Linked DNA regions of Oryzias latipes. The protein of the gene in region 1 binds, or shares a complex with, the protein of each later gene. Links are inferred from orthologs where the notes say so. Each region holds a gene or a part of one and is shown on either strand. Other genes may lie near its edges.

Region 1 (9,382 bases):
GTTTTTTCACAAAACGGATTCTTTCTCACAAACAGGAAACAGATTTTTAATGATGATGTCAGTTATGGTTATGAGATGGAGCTCGTCCTTTGGTCGTGGTCTTCAGCCTTTCTCAGGACGCCGTTTCATGTCAGACGTATTTTCACGGACAAGTCTGAACGAGAACGAATTTTACTTTTCATATTTTTAAGCTTCTGGTTTCTGAAAAACATATTTTTCAAATTGAAATGCCACTAAAAAGAATATGTTTCAAAAAAATCTGAAAATATTACAAGATTTTTTTTTACAGATGACAAACATTCAATGAAACAAAGTTATTTGTAGAAGTTGCTTCTGATTTGTAAAAATAGAATCCATGATAACACTGAGACTCAGATCATTTTTTACATTCATCATATTTGTTTCTACAGAAATCCTGATTTATTGTGTATTTATTGTGTATACATTTTCTGACATCTGCCTAATTCAACTTTGCTGTAGGAAAATTCATAAATGTCCTTTTTCCAAGTTTCCACAAATCAGCATCATTTGTTTATTAAATCTTTTTCTGTGGCTGGTATTTAATAAAAGAAAAATGTCAGAGTGGCGGCTAACAACCGAACGCCAACGTCAGCCGCATCAGACTTTTTGATTGACGGATAAATGAAGCAAAAGAAAACGACAACTGTCGTAAAAGTGGTATTCTCTAGAAATAATAACAAATAAACGTCATTATCTACGTGTGTGAAACATTATATGCTTATATACATGCAGAGCAGATTCTGGTACTTCAGAACAACCGTCTCCCGGACCGGTACCAGTCTGCGGCCTGGGGGTTGGGGACCCCTGCTGTAAATTACTGAATCTATATCAAAACAAAGCAATGGTCAAGAAGTGTATTTATCGAAACTACGCCCACAAGCAGAATCTGGGCTAACAACATGAGCGGTTCTGACAGAAGAGGAGGGTCTGACCTCTTCAGCACCACAGGCACGGCGGTGGCAGGACTCCTCTTCAGTCCCTCGATGATCTCTGGGGCTTTGTCGCCGTAGATACGGTAGACGGAACGCCGCTGGATGACCTCAGACGTGCCGCCCAGGCAGTCGTCCAACCGGAACCGGTCCTGGTCTTCGGGAGAAAGGCGAGCCAGCTTCTTCTGGACGCTCTCCAACACTCTGATGGTTGCCAGGTTGGTCTCCAGAACGACATCCAGCTGCAAGTGTCACCGGCACAGATTTACTGAGCATAAACCAAAATCAGAATCATAAACCAGCATCTTTGAACACGGTGACGTCTGCGTTTCTCAGTGATGAAAGTATGGAAACAAAAATGTTTTGTCAGACAGTTTTTAACCATCTTGGAGTTTGTTGGACAAAGGTTTTCAGCACGCTTTGGTTTAATAAATGGCATCTGTTGAGTCACAGATGAGAAATCTTTGTGCTGTTGGTTTACCTCGAACCTTTCATCCTCGCAGCGATGCAGCTGCTCTTCATAAGGAGTCTTCTTCGAGCTGACAAATGTAGAATCTTCTGACCAGGAAGGAAATGACACCCAGGTGTCATTCAGGACCTTAGGACGCACAAATGGAAAGTATGAACACAAAGAGAAGACATTCCAACGTCTGCTATGGTTCCTTTGATGCACACGAAGGCTTTTCCAGAGCATCCTTTGGTTGGTGACCTGCAGCTCCTGGAGTCTGACACAACGGCCCCTTTTTCCTAGGTAAATAATTCAAAATAAATCAGATTTAAAAAAGAAAACTCCTTCTAAGGAACGGTGTCCTTTAAAAAGGACATAAAAACGTAGTGACTGAGAGTTAAACCTGAGCTTCCTGTTATCTCCCTTCAGTGCAGGAAACACCAGAACATCGACTCTGAAAGACCAGATAATCCAATCCCACAATTCTTTGCTGTCATCGCGTAAAAAGGAAGTGATAACTGAAGGTTGACTCAAAGCCAAAAAGGCTGTCAGACCAACTTAGGGTTTAATCCTGTACAGAAACATTTTGTAATTCCAAGCCTTCTTTAAATCGTGACGCATCATAGCGAGGTCAAGGAGCTGAGAACCCCCCCCCCCCCAGAACCAAAGGAAACAGCACCGTTCAAGCCCCCAAAGGTTGTGGTACCTCTTTGCATAAGGCTGTGCGCCCGCTGCATTTGGGCTGCTGGTAGGTCTTTGGCAGCGCTCGATAGCTGGACCCCAGCCGCTTGCAGGAGGCATAATCCACCTCCCTGCCTCCACCCCCCTCCATGTAGCGGTCCGACAGCCCCGACACGCCATGACACAGCTCTTTGTCCCCCAGAAAGGACTTGAACTGCGAGTACAGCTCAGGAAACTTCCTGTTGGGGAGGGACAGGTCAGTTCAGGGAGACCCAGCTGCAACGACACACCTGCTGTCGCACAATTCAATCAGATTCCAGCCTTTTCCTGTTGTGGGATCCGACATTTACTAAACACGCTGCCATTTGTAAAGGTTCTTCTCACCCCAGGAAAGGTGTGACCAGCTGGAGCAGCTCTGCTCCAGAAACCACTTCCTGGTTGAACAGCGCGATGCAGCGCAGAAAGTTCTCGTACACTTCCTGGCTTTTGAAAAGGCGGCGGACCTAAAAGATTGATTAGGGTAATCAGATAAAAATGTCAAAGCAAGGTAAAGCTTAGAAAACAGGAAATCAAAAATGTAATAAAATCCATAAACCTTACTTTGTCAAAGAAGGAGAATTCCCTCAGGACGCCGTGCTTCCCGGCTGAAGCAAAAGACGGATCTTTGGTGCAAGAATACTTCATTTTTTTCTGAAAAAGAAAAACTATTTCATAAATATCTAGAACATTTGATTTCCTTAATGGCACAGCAGAATTGAGAAACTTCAGAGATTTTATGAATACCAATAATCTAATTCTTACAGAATGGAAAGCACATCAGAAAGCGTCTAATAAACATTTTCATCTGCTCTGTAGCAGTCTGTACAGGGAGAGAAAGCTGCTTTGAATTCAAAATGCACAACATTTGACGTTATTTCCTTATGGAAGGAGTCACAGAGCAAGAGTCAGAGTTAATCAGCAGCGTTCGCTGGAAACAACAGCAGACTGGATGCAGCTTTAAGACTGAGCAGCAAAGGCTGATGGGAATCTTTAGCTACATGCATCCTACTGCATGTGGCTGTAGTTTATGCAGATTTGGTGTATTGTCAGTGAACAGTAGTGAAGAAAACAAACTACGAAGTGGCAAAATATACTAAAAAAGGAGAGAATGAAGATTTGAGGAATAATCAATAAGACAAAAAATTTACATTCTAAAAAAGATGAAGCTGCACTAATCTGAATGTTCACTAAATAGAAAGACAGAGCAAAGACAGAAAAGGGCTGTTTTTATTAAAGAATAACCTGTCAAACCCCAAAAAATCTATTTACTGCAGCGACATATGGATCAGATATGGATAATATCAATATGTATCATATGTGGTCCAGACTTCTGACTTGAGGGTTGTACAAAAGCAAATATCTTCTTAATGTCATTTTAATCTTTATTTATAAGATAAAAGCGCTCTGTGGTCGTCACAGGTGCATCTATGGAAGGACACACAGAACCTGAACTGGTTTTTGGCATCTTTGTATAAATAAAACAAAACGTCATCACAGTTTCAGCAAATATTCTGGACAGTCAAAACTGAGACGGAGCTTCTCAGAGATGATCCAGTGTGTTCCGTCTCAGAGTGATGGGTTAGGGAAACCTTCACAAACTCCAGAGTCCCACGAGTTTCACCGCCGACCTCCACCTGCAGCTCCTCACTGGCAAAGCACACCTGATCCAGGTAATCGGCAGCAGGTGGGGTCGAGTTTAGGAGAAACCAGCAGAATGTTGGCGCTGGCGGGGTAGAATTCGACACCCCTGCTTTTAATCAAAGTGTGGCCCCACACTCAGAGTGCCGCTCCTTCCAAAAACCAGCCAATCAGGCTTCAAATGGCCTTTTTTGATTTAAATCAAAGAAAAGGTTAAAGGTGCACATTTTCATCTTATCGAGCTTTAGGTCAAATCTTGTAATGGGGGGTCCTTTCGTATGCAAACACACCTTCCTTTCTCTTAATTCTGTGTTTTGCTGTCATTAAATACATCAGACCCTGCAGTGAATAAACGCGACTTTTTCCCCCTTAGGTTTGGTTTTTACTCAGATTAACTGTAGAATACGTTTACAGTTTAACATTGAAATCCTTCTGATTGAAGAATAGACAACTGTTAGAAACCAGGAAAAAAAACACAACATGTCAAGCCAGGGCCGGTTAATACTTCAACAAAGCCTCATCAACAAGAATAAAGTAATTCAGAGTTAGTAAAGGGGTCCAGTCAGATGAAGCTACACAAACACAGGGGTTAGTGGGACAGAAAGGAACAACAGTTCCAAGGTAAAATGTTCATTCTGTGCCACTTTGCATTCTTTAAACACTGATAAAGCTATGAAATGAATCGATTGTGTTTCAACATCACACAATAAAGGCAAACTGCAGCATTTCTCACTATTTAAATCAAGCTTTCTTCTTAACTGAAGCATTTTGTCACTTTTGGCCGGCGTCGTTTGGACAAATGCGTCCATAAGAAGCACGAGCATACCTTCAGCAGAGGAGACATGTGCTGCAGGAGGACGGGCCGGGGCCTCTTCTTGTTCTGTTTGCTTGATACATCGTCTTCCTCAGACTTTTTCAGCGGCTCTTTGCTCCCCGTCAGCGAACTCCCCGTGAACTAAATTAGCAAAAGAAGAAGTAAATATCAGCAGAGACATTCTGAAAAGCAAATACAGCTAGTCTGTCTCCATTGGAGAAGCCGGACAAACCGGAAAAACCAGGTTCGTTTGTGACTCTTCACTTATTTCATTAAGGTTAGAAGTTCACATGCTGGAGCTTCACTGACCAGAGATCTCTTAGCATCGGGTAAGAACTGTCCAAACTCAGCCAGAAGATCCTCCTGCCCCTTAAAAAGGCTGGCCACTTTGGAAAAGACTTCGTCTTCAGTCATGCCGCTGCTGCCCCGACTCTCCTTGGCTTCCAGCTGCTCCTTCTGCAAAGTGACGGGGGAAACCGTGTTGACATGGAGCCAAAGGGGGAAACACTCTTTCTTTTAAAGAACAATCACATCTACAGTTATCAATATCTTGTAAAACAGCCGTTTTGATGCAATAGTGATGAATGGCGTGCATTCTGACACATCCACCCCATGACACACGTTTCAGGAATAAAACGGCCAACAAGCCGCTGCAGTCTCGTCTGTACACTGTGATAAATGTAAAACGTTTCAGTTATGGAGCTGGAAATCTGCTTCCTAATCAGCCAGTTTTTACCTGATAGGTGTGGAGGATTTCTAGGAAGGCTCTATAAATCTCTGGGTGGTCCAGAAAACGGTTTTTAATCTTGTTAACATAGCTGATGGCACTGTCAAACTCAACAGGACTGGTCTCTGACGCCGGCGGGGACACCGAGGAGACGGCGGCCGGATTGTGGCTCTCTTTAGTCAGGGGGAGAGAAAGTCTGCTGGGGGGCTCTGCGGGTCCCGTCGAGCTGGACGACAGGGAATCGGACGAAGGCGCCTTGACTTCACTGGTCTGGACCGGTCCAGCTTCAGCGTGGACCGTGGAGGCGGGGCCTGAGGACGAGCCCACTGCAGGAGGGGTCAGATTTTTAGTGTGCTGTCCCGGAGACACCTGCATGGGTGGACAGGGGGGGTGGACAGGGGGGGCAAACAGTGCATGAGACATTAAAGAAATGAAATGTTAAAGAACATGAAACATAATTACATCGGCTCTGAAATAAAGTGGATTTTTTAAAGCAAAAGAATTCAAACTCCATAAATTAAAAATAACACTGATTTGAGCTTTTTATTAAGCAGCTTTAGCTCCAATAATCCACAGTTTAATACAACAATCTGGTTTTACAGCACAATGGAGAGCTTTTAGATTTTCTTTAAGCACTTTGTAAATAAATGCAAACATTTATAGGCAAAAAGGAGCAGAAAAAAGTGTCTTTTTAGATTTTCATATGCAATAACAGCGCTATGAGGTCATCCAATAAGCTCTCAAATTTGCAACATTTTGTGTGAGAAACATGAAACGATTAAGTTTAGCAAAGACGATCATGATTCAAATCAATTGGAATATTATTGAAAGTGTATAGATTTCAAAAACTGAAGTGACAAAATGATTAAATGATTTCCAAAATCCATAAACTCCACCATGGGATGCATCTAAAATCAGAATCTTCTCTGACAGTTTGTCATTCTGGGAAACATCCGACAGCAACGTTACATTCAGAGGATTCAGTTCCAGGTTCATCAAAAGTGCAAATAAGCCCACAAAGAGACATTATTCCACACAAAGTTTAAATAACAAATACATCTGCAGCTCATGTGGGTCAAACGCACTAATACAATCTGATGGCAGCAAACTCTCCAAAGTTTGGCCGCGTTTTGTGAATAACCATCACTCAGACATCAGTTTTCTCTCAAAAACACACTATGATAAAACAAAATGTTGTTTTTAACCTGTTCTGCTGATGGAGGAGAAACAGAAAGAATAAGTAAATAAATAAATAAAGACAAAATAAAAAGCCTATAGTTGTTACGTGTAAGGGTCAATGGCCGACGAAGTGTGCATTATCACTTTTTAACGCACACCGTGGAAGCCTGGGTGCTTCCGCGAAGTGCGTTAGTTCTGATAATGAACACTTCAAAGGCCATTAACCCGCTTATACCATGGTCACTTACAAAAGCAATAAATAGTAACCTGTTTTTGGTACTTAATTCTTGTTTTTTGTTCCGATTTGGATCACTTTTCTCACAAAAAGCGGACTATTTGTTCGCGCCGCATCACTGCTGCAGTCAAGATTCGGCGATATATATCTATGCTGATCTTCCCGATGGGTTGAATAAAGCATCAGTTCAGAGAGAAAGTTCACTTTTTACCGCTTGTTTTTGTCCAAATGATGAAGCAAAAGGTTGTTTTAAAGAAGCCGGCGTAGTGATACAGAACATTTAAGCTAGGTGACCGGAACTTCTTTTTTCACCGTGCAGTTATCCTGTGGTATATCACTTTTTAATGCACACCCAGCAGCCAATCAGATTCAAGTATTCACCCGGGCCATGGTATAAAAAAACTACAATGGACAGCCTCCAGCCCCCGCTCCATTCTGATCCTCCACCTGCAGACCAACAGATCCATGATCTTCTTTGTTTTCCTGGTCTGAGCTGGAATCTGGATCAGAACTGGACGGCTGGATGGATCTGATCACTGTTTTTGTTGCACTGCTAATGCTAGGTTGGGGGTGTGAGGGGCAGTAAGCTAGTGGGAGAGGGTGTAAACTGTAAACAGATGATGGGAAGGAGGACTGGCTTTCACCACGCCAACGGTCCCGCCCACAACGCCGCTCTACAGGAACTATGTCCAAGAAAATGACTGGTTTAGTTTAGCCGTTACCTATTGATTCTATGACTTTGTGTTCTTTATGATTCATGTTTATTGAACAACTACCGTCTGAAGCCCTTTGAGGTGACTGTTGTTGTAATATTGGGCTATAGAAATAAAACTGAATGGAATTTTCATCATAATTAAAAGGCCACTGGGAACACTTAGAAACTAGATCCAAAGATGGTCAGAGTGGAACTTTAAGACCTCTAAACTCTGTCACCCTGAAATCTTTACGGGTTTCAGTACAAGCGGGAAGTGTGGCTCACCTGAGCGGAGAACGGAGACTGGAGAAACGCCATCCCATTTTTGGGAATCTCTATCCGATAACCTGGAGGCAGGAAGGCGTTGAAGCCCAGGACCAGGTCTGGATGTCCATGAAATAGCTGTGACACGCGGTTTATGACCCCCGGTGTGTCAATGCTGTTGAAGAGAGACGACGACGATGATGATGATGATGATGGGTGAAGATAGAGACACATACTTTCATGCTTCACTACTTTAAGATAAAGTCAAACATTTTAGTTCTGGATGGAACCAGTTAAGAAAATGTTTTTGGTTTCTGTTGTATTTATTTATGTTAAATAATCAGTTTTGACAAAATAATTGTCTTTGGACTCATTAAAGATTTGTTAACTACCCTTAAAGTAACCAAGCATCACAACCACTAACCTCACTCTGCCTTTCATGTCACTCGTGTTTCTGGGTGAATTCAGCATCGGCTTAGCAGCATTTTTGCCTCCTTTTTAAGTTCAGAAACCGTCCTGTTCTTGGCAGGACTGCTGCAGACTCAGTCTGCGGATCGGCACAGGAAGACCCAGACCAGGGCCCGCTTAGGGCTACATTGGGCGGCCATGGCGCAGAGGAAGAACGTTCGACTTCTGATGAGAAAATCAAGGTTCTGTTCTCGCCTTGTCCGCCCAAGTGTCATTGGGCAAGGCACTGAAGCCCACATTGCTCCTGGTGGTTATAGGTTGGTGCCAGTGTTTGGCATCAGTGTGTGGGTCTGTGGCAGAAAAGCGCTTTGGACTCTAACAAAGTACTAAACCACTATCATAAAAATACGCCGTTTACTATTTAGGCAGCAGCGGGATACGCCTCGCCCAAGAACCTACACTGGGAAGCATACACTGGCTTCTTGCACGCCAGTCCAACACCCAGCCAAGGTTGGGGTTGTGAGGGGCTGTAAGCTAGCGGGGCAGCATGTAAACAGATGAGATGATGGGAAAGGGGCCGGCTTACTCTGCACCACTGACACAACTCAGAGCTGAATTTCTAATGAACTACTGCCACTTTGCAGAAACTATATCCTAGAAAACGGCATAAATGTAATTAAAAGATGACTAGGAATGTTTTTGCAACAGATGCAAACTACTTTACTGTAAATCCCTGTAAATCAGGGTTTGGTTTGCTCCTATGGTTACCTCTGTGACTTGAACTCCTTCATGATGTCCAGGAACTTGTTATAGATGCCCGGATCATTGGCAAACCGGATCTTCACTTGGTCCAGATAAGATAAGGCATCTTCAACCTTTAAAACAAAAGACCGGCAGTTATTGTCAGGTGAGATGTTGGTGCATGAAGTGGAAAAGGACAAATTCCAAAGCAGAACTGTTACCCATCATGCACCAGTGGGCAGGACTCGCAGCTGATCGGGACTTTATTTACCCGTTTAGTCTGAATGCTGGCTTTTTCAGCCCCGTTCGTTTGAGTCTGCATGATGGTTTGAAGTCAGGCTGAGCTTTATTTACCACACGCACGCACACACTCGCGCGCGCACACACACACACACACAAACTGCAAGTGACTGAAGAGGAAAGACGACGCAGCTGAACCGGGAAAGAAGCAGCTCCCGTTTCTACCGTCTGCAGCGTTTACGGCCACTAAACACCGAGAAATCACAGAAACATTCAGACGAAAGAGCGCGTAGCGTCTGAAGCTAATGCTAGCCAACAGCGGAG
Region 2 (9,382 bases), on another chromosome or scaffold:
TAGACTGTAAGAGCACGTTGGCCTCCTCCAGGCACGCTGAGCTGCAACACAGGTTGAAAGCCGGCTCCGAATCGGAGCCTGTTGCAGGACTAGGGAACCATGTCCAAACGGAAGCTTTCAAAAAGGAGCAGGAGGGCGCCACAGAGACCTGTGCTCTGAAAAACTGCCCCACCGCTCTCACGACTCGGCCCAACAGTGGCGGGCTGAACAACAAGAGCCACGGCAAGCTTCAGGAGGAGGAACCGCGTCACTGTTCCATCACAAGCAGCTCGCTCTCCCATGCATCAAAAGACGAGCAGAAGCAAGGCACGGGAGAACCCAAGCTGTTCCCACCACCAATGGGTAAAAGCAGCACTCATGAACCAGCACAGATAAACACATTCAATACATTTTAATTAGCAGCTTCTATGTACAGCGTTCCAAATTATTCTGCAAATGCTGTTTTTTTGAATGATTTTTCTCAATACTCGATGCAAATGAAAGTCGGCAGGATTTGTCTAGTCACTAACCATTTTGATGTCATTTTATTAAACAAACCTACTAAAGACGCATATTTTATTCATAAATAAAAGCCTTGAAAGTTTACTGTTCCACATTAGTAAACAGAACATTTCATAGATTCTGAAGAACTAAAAATGGTCATTTGTTGACTTTGCTGCATTAATAGATCATATTTACTGAAGTTTCATTCCAAATTCTACAGTTTCTTCGTCAGCCTCGTAGAAGAAGTCCCTCTTTGCTTCCAGCTGTTTTCATATCTGCGTTTGAGATCGATGGGCGGGCTGAGCTTACTCCGATCAGCGGAAGCCCGGTGGATTCTTTATGTTTGTCTGGGCCCACTGCAGCTGTTTCAGCCCACTTTCCTTTCACCAGAAAACAGGACCCTGGACCACTGGCCCACAGTCCAGTTCTTCTTCTCCGTTTCCCCCGTTGGTCCAGGCTCAGACGTGTCTTGACCCGAAGAACCCGACAGTTGTAGCCCGTCTCCAGAATGGGCCTGAATGTGGTGGTTTTGGAAGCTGTTCCTCCACCTCATTCCACTCTTTCTGGAGGTCTGCAGCTTTTTGGATCTTGTCCTTTTGATGATCCGCTGAAGCCCACAGTCGTCTCTTTTGCTGCTGCTTCTTCTCCTGATACATTTTGACCTTCCTATAGACTTTCCATTGATCTGCTTGGACACAGCGCTCTGTGAACAGACAGCCTCCTGAGCTACTTTTGAACTTTGGTGGCTCACCCAGAGGTCAACGATGGTCTTTTGGGAAGTTGGAAAGCCTGAAGTCTTCCTTATATTTAACCAAACTGAACCAACGTCTGGGGAACCTGTGCAGTTACTTTATGCAGTAGATCAGGGGTCGGGAACCTATGGCTCGCGAGCCATATATGGCTCTTTTGATGGTCACTTGTGGCTCACAGACAAATCTTTAATTATACTTTTTTATTTTTTATTAGACCAGTCCTTCTCGGGCGCGATGCGATGCCAGAGGCGTGGTGCTTGGAGAGAAAAATCTGCGCCAGCATTATCAGTTTACTATTATCTACTATTTCACAGAGTTTGTACCAACCGTAAACCTGTGAATTGACGTCCCTAAAACTGCACGCTCCCGTCTCCGAGAAAGAGCGCGCAGTTGCGGGGACGGGATGTGTGAGGAAGAAAGCAGAGGGTGGGGGTGAGGTGTTGTGGGGACAGGCAGCAGGTGAATCGCGCAGGGATTGTAATAACGTAAAACCTGCTGCCCGTCACTCACTGCAGCGTGTGAGTGTGTGTTTGGCTCCCCGTCTGCATGTGATCAGTCTGTCTCACATCTACAGAACATTCAGACCTAAGATCACGTTTAAAGTCTCAACGCCTGAACGAAGCAGAAACTCACCACGTATCAACCAGACTAGACCACCAGCAGAACTACCACGAGAAATACTCATCATTTATTACCAACAGAATAACAATGTTATTAAAAAGAATCCACAGACTTATTGTACTTTAAAAATGTTGAAATTAAATCAAATGCACACATTCATTTATATATTTAGTTTTAAACAAATTGTCGCGGACTGAGTTGGATGGCTGTTGGGCCGCGTTAAAAGTTCTGGAGTTCATTGAACGCGTCAAGCAGAGATCTGATTGGCCCTCAGTTCTGTCGCTCAGCCTGTTGTTAGGTAGTTTGGACCAATGGTGTTCAGCTATGGGCCGAATAAGGGAAATGGGAGGGCTGCAGCGGGAGCAGGGGAATATATAGTTGGGAGAAGCGCTCTCGTGTCGGCGGGAGAGATTCAGGAGTTGCTGAATGAATTGAACGGCGTTTGTTGCGGTCTGCAGTAACCAGAATAAAGAACTTTAAAAGAGGTTAAGTCTCCGTGCCTCAGTGTGGGGAAGGGACACTACATTATTGTATGGCTCTTTCGAAATTACATTTCAAAATATGTGGCATTTATGGCTCTCTTGGCCAAAAAGGTTCCCGACCCCTGCCGTAGATGATTAGTTGGTGACACTCCGTTTCAAACATTCACGGCCTGCAGAATTTGGGCCGATTTCTCCACGGCATTCTAATTTTAGGAAATCTTGTTGTCATAGGCTTCTTGAGCTGGAACGCCAATTTATTTCAAATAAGCAAATACTTGAAATCAATTAAAAAGCGGGCCCTGAATCTGTATTCCATGAAAGTACAATGTTTTGAATGGAATTATGGAAATGGATCCACTTTTCCATGACACTCAAATGGTTGTGGAAAGGGTCCGTATACGTCTTCCACACCCGCCTCTCCTACTTTCACATGGAACAAGGTTTTCTTCCAAGCTGTCTTAAAACTTACCAACACATCTTAAACCCAAGTGACTATTTATTTTTAAAGTATTCTTCTGACTATTACATTAAACAGAGAGGAGCAGGCCTCTAAAGACGGAACAGTTATTTCATCGGTTTCATAAAGTAAATATTTAACAATAGAAGTAGCAGCATGCTTATTTTGACTTGTAAAAACAGCCCAAAACATCGTTATATCATCAAAGTTTACCATTAAAAGTAAAAAAAAAAGACCCACCCCAACGAGGACATTTTTTCTGTTTTTCTCACCATGCATGAAAAAAATTAAGATTAAAACTGCAGTTTTCAGTATTTCTTTGTTCAAACTGTGGTGAGGCAGGAGCAGAGTGAAAAAAATGCTGTTTTGAAAAAGCTTGTGATTAGTCGGCAGGCCACAAGCTCCGCCCCTTTCTGATCATCCACTAACAAACATATCCATGAGCGTCTTTGTTTTCCTCCTCTGAGCTGGAATCTGGATCAGAACTGTACGGATGGACAGCTCTGACACTGCTCCCAGTTTTTGTCGCACTGCGGATGTTCGGTTGGGTTTGTGAGGGGATGGAAGATACGAGGACAGAATGTACCGTAATTTCCGGACTATAGTGCACCTGGTTATAAGCCGCACCCCATTACATTTTTAAAGGATAAACCATATTGTACATGCATAAGCCGCATGTGCCCACATTGAAACATGTGTTGTAGAATGAGGATGTGTATGTGTGTGGGTGTGGGTGTGTGTAAGAAAGAGGAGGGAGCGAGAGCGCGCAGCAGAAGTGTGTTTGGGGTGTGAAACATATGAGAGCTTTCTTCATCTTCCTCCTGTGCACTGAAACATGGAAGTCTTCCTCAGTGTTGGATTGGAATAGCGTCAGATATTCTTCACCACACTCTGTCTCTTCTTCATTGTAGTTGTCAGTGTCACTCTCATCCTGAGGCAAATTCCCTCCTGAGCTTGCGCTGTCCTCTCGCAGCAGACCGGCTTTTCCAAACACACTGCCTTTAACAATGGCTTTTAACTTGAAAGTTGAAAGCTGCATCATATGCATTTCTTCTTTTATTTTATTCTCATATTTTTATTATAATGAGGTTGTGTTCGTGCCATTCATTCACAAAGCGGGAATTTACATTAAACGTGCGTCTTCCTCGACACATACACCGTCTCACTCTAACCCTTTCTGCTGGGTCGCCCCTAGTGGCCGTTATTAGAAATGCATTAAAAAAATTCATAAAATAGCGCAGCATGGAATAAGCAGCAGGATTGAAAACGTGTGACAAAAGTAGCGGCTTATAATCTGGAAATTACGGTAAACAAAGCCGTCACTTTAGAGGCAAATTTCTGATGAACTCTTGTTGCTCTGGAGATACTATGTCCTTGAAAATGACAGCTTTTTCGATTTTGGATAAAAATGGCATAACCATAATTAAAAGTTCACTTCATCCCTTTCTAGATCAAGTTTATATGTGAATTAGTGTTTGCTGAACTTGTTTATGTGCCTCAGTGATCCAGTTTAAAGCCGTTTTGTTTGTCCCACAGATATGAAAGCCCCTCCCGGCCTGATGGACATGCTGCTGCCAGGCACACCTTCGTCTGTCGCCAACCTGTCCTCGTGTACGAAGGATGGAAAGGAGGATGGAGGTAAAGGTGTCCCCGCCTGATGACGAGCGACCCAGCTGAATTGCTGCTGTTTGTGGCTTGAAGGCTGACATGCACGTCTTGTTTTCTGTCTGTGTGCTCATGGGTAACAGACATTCAGCTTGATAAACTGGATGCAGAGATGATCAAGATGCTGGCATATCAGAGGATCCAGCAGCTATTTCCCCCTAAGATACCCAGCACTCCACCCTGCACAGGTTCCTCTAAATCCCCCCAACCCGACAGTAAGTCTTACCCCTGACACTAGCCGTGTTATCATGAATAGGACGTTGCTCAAATTGGATTTGGGATATTACATTTGCCTAATGGAAAAATGTCAACTCCCAAAAATAACTTGCATTTATTGGGGGGAAAAAGATGGTTTTTGAGGCGTATTTCACAAAACTGCAATGGAAAGACTTGTTTTTGAATTAAATGAGTCATGTGACCAACAACACTCCACAGGTAGACAGTTTTAGATGGAGAGAGTGACTCGCTTTTTGGTAGGAACTTGTGCGCTGCACAGCGGGCGCCATATCACGCCACACAGCTCATCAAAAGTTGAGCGTGTCGTGCAGAATTATTGGATTGTTTGCAGCTCCTCTGTAAAATCACCAACAACAGTTTCCCAAAATGGTTGAATCCGTAGCCACTCCCACGTGTCAGGAGCTCGCCGCTCCACAGCCTGAATAAGACGCCGACGTCTCCTTTGAAAGATGACGATGAGCGCTAGTATCTGCTGTAAATCAAAGTTCACGTTTCTGAATGACTTATGATGTGAGTTGGTTTGTGTTCATTCACATAATTAGGATTAAATGGAAACGGTGTAATTGCAAACATTTCTAGAATTTTGACAGTGTTCCGCATCTGGGAGTCATGGAAACGCAGCTACTCTCTCGTCTTGTGTGACTTCTGAATTTCTACTGTCAGAATAGAAAACAAACGTGTATCACACTTTTTTGGTGAGGTTGTTTGTAACTCCACCTTTTCTTCAGGTCAGAAGAAAGTCCAAGCCCGAGCTGTTTTCTATCCTCTGATAGGAAAAGGTCACGCTGTAAGCATGTGCTACAGGACGCTATACATAGGATCCGGTAAGAGACTCTGACATTCACTGCAGGTTTTGTTTGCATTTGAAATCGGCACATCAATTACTAAAGATATTAAAGAACATCAAAAATACAGTGCTCCCGCCGTCCTGCATGCTTAGTTTTTTTTTATCTACAGCACACTACGTTCTGTGTCCTGATTGGCTGTAGACCTTGTCAATCAATCTTCCATGCTGTGCCTTCAGTACAGATTGTGTACAGTTTGCCAGAGTTGTATATATCACAGATCTTTGTTTTCATTCTGTAATAGTGGACTTTTTTAAAAAGAAAGGTGTGAAAATGTTCATGTGAGTCTGAGAAAAGTGTAGGAAGTGTGTAGTGAGGAGTTTTACAGCCCTAAAGCATCTATATTGTATCCAAGAAAAAACTTACGATATTTGTTTAAAAACCAGTCGTTATAATATTTTGTTGCTCTATTATATGAATATTATTTTAAAAAAGCAAAGATCTTTTTGGGAGAAACTGTGTTTTATTGATGGATAAAAGATTCAGAAAATGTGTGGAGCACATGAAGCCCACATAAAAGCTACATCATGAGGATATTGATATGCCACAGTCTGAAAAGGGGTTTCTAACCTGCAACCTTTTTCTGTGAAGGAGCCGACATGGACGTTTGCCTTTCAAATTACGGTCACTGCAACTTTGTTTCCGGGAAACACGCGTGCATTTTCTATGACGAGGTATGGCTTTGTGGACACGCTTTGCCCTGAAGCGTGGCTCCGTCATGGAAGGACTTTGTCCAACTCTTTCCCCAGAACACCAAGCATTACGAGCTCCTAAACTACAGCGAGCACGGCACCACGGTGGACAACGTCCTCTACTCCTGTGACTTCTCCGAAAAGGCCTCGCCATCCCCACCCTGCGGCCTGGTGTCCAGAGTGCAAAGCATTATCCGTGGGTATCTGCTCAAAAGAAAGACGTCTTCACTGGTTTCTACTCATATTCTGCCTTATAAAAGTTAATTCAAAGAAATGTTCTGATTTTTCTTACTTTCTGCACAAAGACTAGCCGTCCTCAGCGTATACAAATCTAAAATATGATTGGCACACATGTCTGGTTATGAGACAATGGCTGTCTCAGTGTGAGTTTGATACAATTCCATTTTATGTGTGTAGCCCGATATTACAACAAGAGCCGTCTCAGTGGGCTTCATACCAGTGATTCTGTAGAAGACATGAAGTCGGTAGGTCATTTTTCCATCTCGCCTCACTTGTGATTGTGTTACAGTTTGTTTTCCACTCCGTCGTCTGTGCAGGACACAACAGGAAGCAGGAGAGCGAGGGTTCGGGCCCCGGGGCGTCCGTGCTGCCGGCGGGCGGGGTGATGAGCAGCCAGCCCCAGTGTGGCGCGGGGCCGCCATGCGGCTGCAAGTCCAGCAGCTCCAGCCTGATCGGAGGCAGCGGTGCGGGCTGGGAGGGCACGGCTCTCCTTCACCACGGCAGCTACATCAAACTGGGCTGCCTCCAGTTCGTGTTCAGCATTGCCGAGTTTGCCAGTAAACTGCCAAAAGAAGAGCCTGCCGCCAGTTCCACGAGCAGCTCCCCCAGCACCGGCGTGTCCGGCTCCGCACAGTTACCCGCCTCCACACCGCCCAGCACCGCCACGTTGAGCAGCCCGTCCAGCCAGGACGAGGCGGACCCTGACGTGGTCTGCGCCCACCAAGTGCCCGTTCTGCGCTCCAACTTTGTCTCTTAAACCGCACAAGACGCCCACCCTCTACTTTAGTTTGCACCTTCCAAGTCACAATGAAGGGAAAGCTGCACAGCTGCTTGGTCAGCAGGGAAACATTGGTTTGTTTTAAATGCTTTTTTTTTTTTTGGTTTTTTTTTTTTTTTTTTTTGCATGAACTTGAAGTAATGTTGACAATCTTTTATTTTTATTTTTTTTTTGAAAATGACTGACGGTAAACCTGAGTTCACTTCAGACCATCAGGACTTGAGCGAACCTTATTTACCTGCGCTCAGTATTTCTATTGCCTGTGTATTAGTTCTATATATATATATATATATATATATATATATATATGATGTAACCTTATTATGTCAGTCAACCCATTTAGCACAACTCTTATTTTGTTGTATTACATAGTCTGATTTATTTTTTAAAATTTTTTCCCTCTGCTCCTTTTGCACCACAGGTAGCTATAAATGTATGAGTACATACATGCCTACACACTATATGTGTACATAACTATTGTAAATATTTATAATTCAGTCTTTCTCTTTTTGAGAAACATTGGATTTCATGTAGATTTACCTTTTGGGGTTTTTAATTGTACAGTCCATGGAAATTGTGATACAGTGTAGAGTACCAAATGTTTTGTGATAAAACTTGTTCTTAGTCTGTATTTTCCATTGTAGTCCATCTGTTAATACTGTAGTGTTTTAGCACTCATTTTGACATCATGCAGCTTTGTATATAAGCAGTACCAGCTTGTCTGTTAAACATGTAAATACAGAAAGATTTTTTAATAACAAACTCTGTGCATCTTTGTCCCGGCATCAGCCCTCACTGTCAGGAAGGAGAGCGTTAGATTTGTGGTAAATGGCATTCTGTATCCATTTGTCTTGAAAGCTTTTTACAATGAATTCTACATTTCTTTAGTCTTGCCTCTATAGACTCCAGAAAGTCATTGTTCCTGAGTGGGGCAAAAAAGTATTGTCAGCTGCCAATTCTGCAAGATCTCCCACTTCAAAAGATGAGAGGCCTGTAATTGTTTTCATGGGAATACCTCAACTATGAGAGACAAAATGAGAAAAAAGAAAATCCTAGTAACATTGCCCCTAGGCATGAATGCAAGTGTGCATGGGTGACCTGCTGAGGGTAAACCCCGCCTTCGCCCACGAGCGGCCAGGATAGGCTCCAGGGACAAAAAAGGGTTTAGAAAAAGAATGAGTGAGTTTTTTAGGAAACATGTTATCAGAAGTATGTCATTTTAGGTTAAATAAGTTCAGTTTTTAAAGAACACCAGTTATAACCAGAGTTGTCTCAAAGCAAAAGCAAATCACATCCTTATCAAAACCTTGTCCCTTATAAAATTCCACCTTAACGTTCACAGGGAAAAAAAGCCAAAGTCTAAAGTCGTTGGTGTTTCAGGAGGTACAGTTTTTCCGCTTTTTTGAAGAAGTTACTATTACTATTGGTAATGTGCCGTCTCAAAACAAGTCAATCCTTAACCCTTGTGCTATCCAAGCACTTTAACATTGGGAGTTGGGTCATCTAGACCCACTAGACAGTGCTCTGAACCTTTTTTCTTCAATGATTTGTGATCTTCACTGGTGTCCATTGATTACATGAAATCTGTCCACCTTTATCCACCTTTGTCATGGTAGGGAGAACACGTCAATGTAAAGGTGGGGTCATCATCATGCTGGAAGATCCAGCCAATTTTCATCCTCAATACTGTCACTGATGGAAGGAGATTTTTGCCCAAAGACTCATCACACATGGCCCAATTAACCCTTGTGCTATCTTAGATGACCCCACCCTTGCATTGACGTGTTCTCCCTATTGCCCAACATTGGGAGTTGGGTCATCTAGACCCACTAGGCAGTGCACTGAACCTTTTTTCCTTTAGTGATTTGTGATCTTCACTGGTGTCCATGGATTACATGAAATCCTCTCCACCTTTTTCATGGTAGGGATACCACGTCAATGTAAGGGTGGGGTCATAGGATAGCACGTGTCAGTCACCTGTGGGTTTGAACCATACAGGTGCTGTAGTATTTGGGATGTCTGAGTCCATGGGGGGTTGTAGAGAGAAGCAAATGCATCTTAATTGGCGCACAGGTAAGTCTTATGGTTCCCTTGAGACTCGTGGCCACCCCAGCGGACGTCGTGATAGTA

Evidence for each region.
Region 2: the proteins of sin3b (region 1) and phf12 are in contact, whole or in part, in a cryo-EM structure (PDB 8BPA), measured with the Homo sapiens proteins. The link is inferred for Oryzias latipes from reciprocal best matches to the Homo sapiens genes SIN3B and PHF12. Residues at the interface, in NP_056075.1 of Homo sapiens: Glu307, Phe311, Leu318, Glu322, Val323, Tyr324, Glu325, Asn326, Leu328, Arg329, Cys330, Ile331, Leu333, Phe334, Asn335, Glu343, Leu347, Pro350, Phe351, Lys354, Phe365, Lys395, Arg396, Glu490, Glu493, Leu494, Val497, Tyr545, Arg546, Ile547; in NP_001028733.1 of Homo sapiens: Leu20, Met21, Gln23, Ile24, Gln25, Leu27, Leu28, Pro30, Pro31, Lys32, Thr33, Asn264, Leu266, Val267, Leu269, Val271, Val273, Phe275, Thr276, Asn278, Arg279, Ser280, Arg282, Cys292, Pro293, Leu294, Pro316, Asn317, His318, Ile319.

What each region holds. Positions count from the first base shown.
Region 1 is NC_019862.2:32,321,110-32,330,491, forward strand, and holds part of sin3b (paired amphipathic helix protein Sin3b), read right to left. Parts: intron 9,342-9,382; exon of another isoform or gene 9,040-9,341; intron 8,953-9,039; coding exon 8,846-8,952; intron 7,845-8,845; coding exon 7,691-7,844; intron 5,667-7,690; coding exon 5,307-5,666; intron 5,027-5,306; coding exon 4,880-5,026; intron 4,712-4,879; coding exon 4,583-4,711; intron 2,770-4,582; coding exon 2,680-2,769; intron 2,583-2,679; coding exon 2,464-2,582; intron 2,319-2,463; coding exon 2,105-2,318; intron 1,549-2,104; coding exon 1,432-1,548; intron 1,193-1,431; coding exon 954-1,192; intron 1-953.
Region 2 is NC_019871.2:27,099,779-27,109,160, reverse strand, and holds the end of phf12 (PHD finger protein 12), read left to right. Parts: coding exon 1-342; intron 343-4,331; coding exon 4,332-4,433; intron 4,434-4,543; coding exon 4,544-4,675; intron 4,676-5,425; coding exon 5,426-5,521; intron 5,522-6,133; coding exon 6,134-6,216; intron 6,217-6,291; coding exon 6,292-6,430; intron 6,431-6,791; coding exon 6,792-7,231; 3' UTR 7,232-8,014; downstream 8,015-9,382.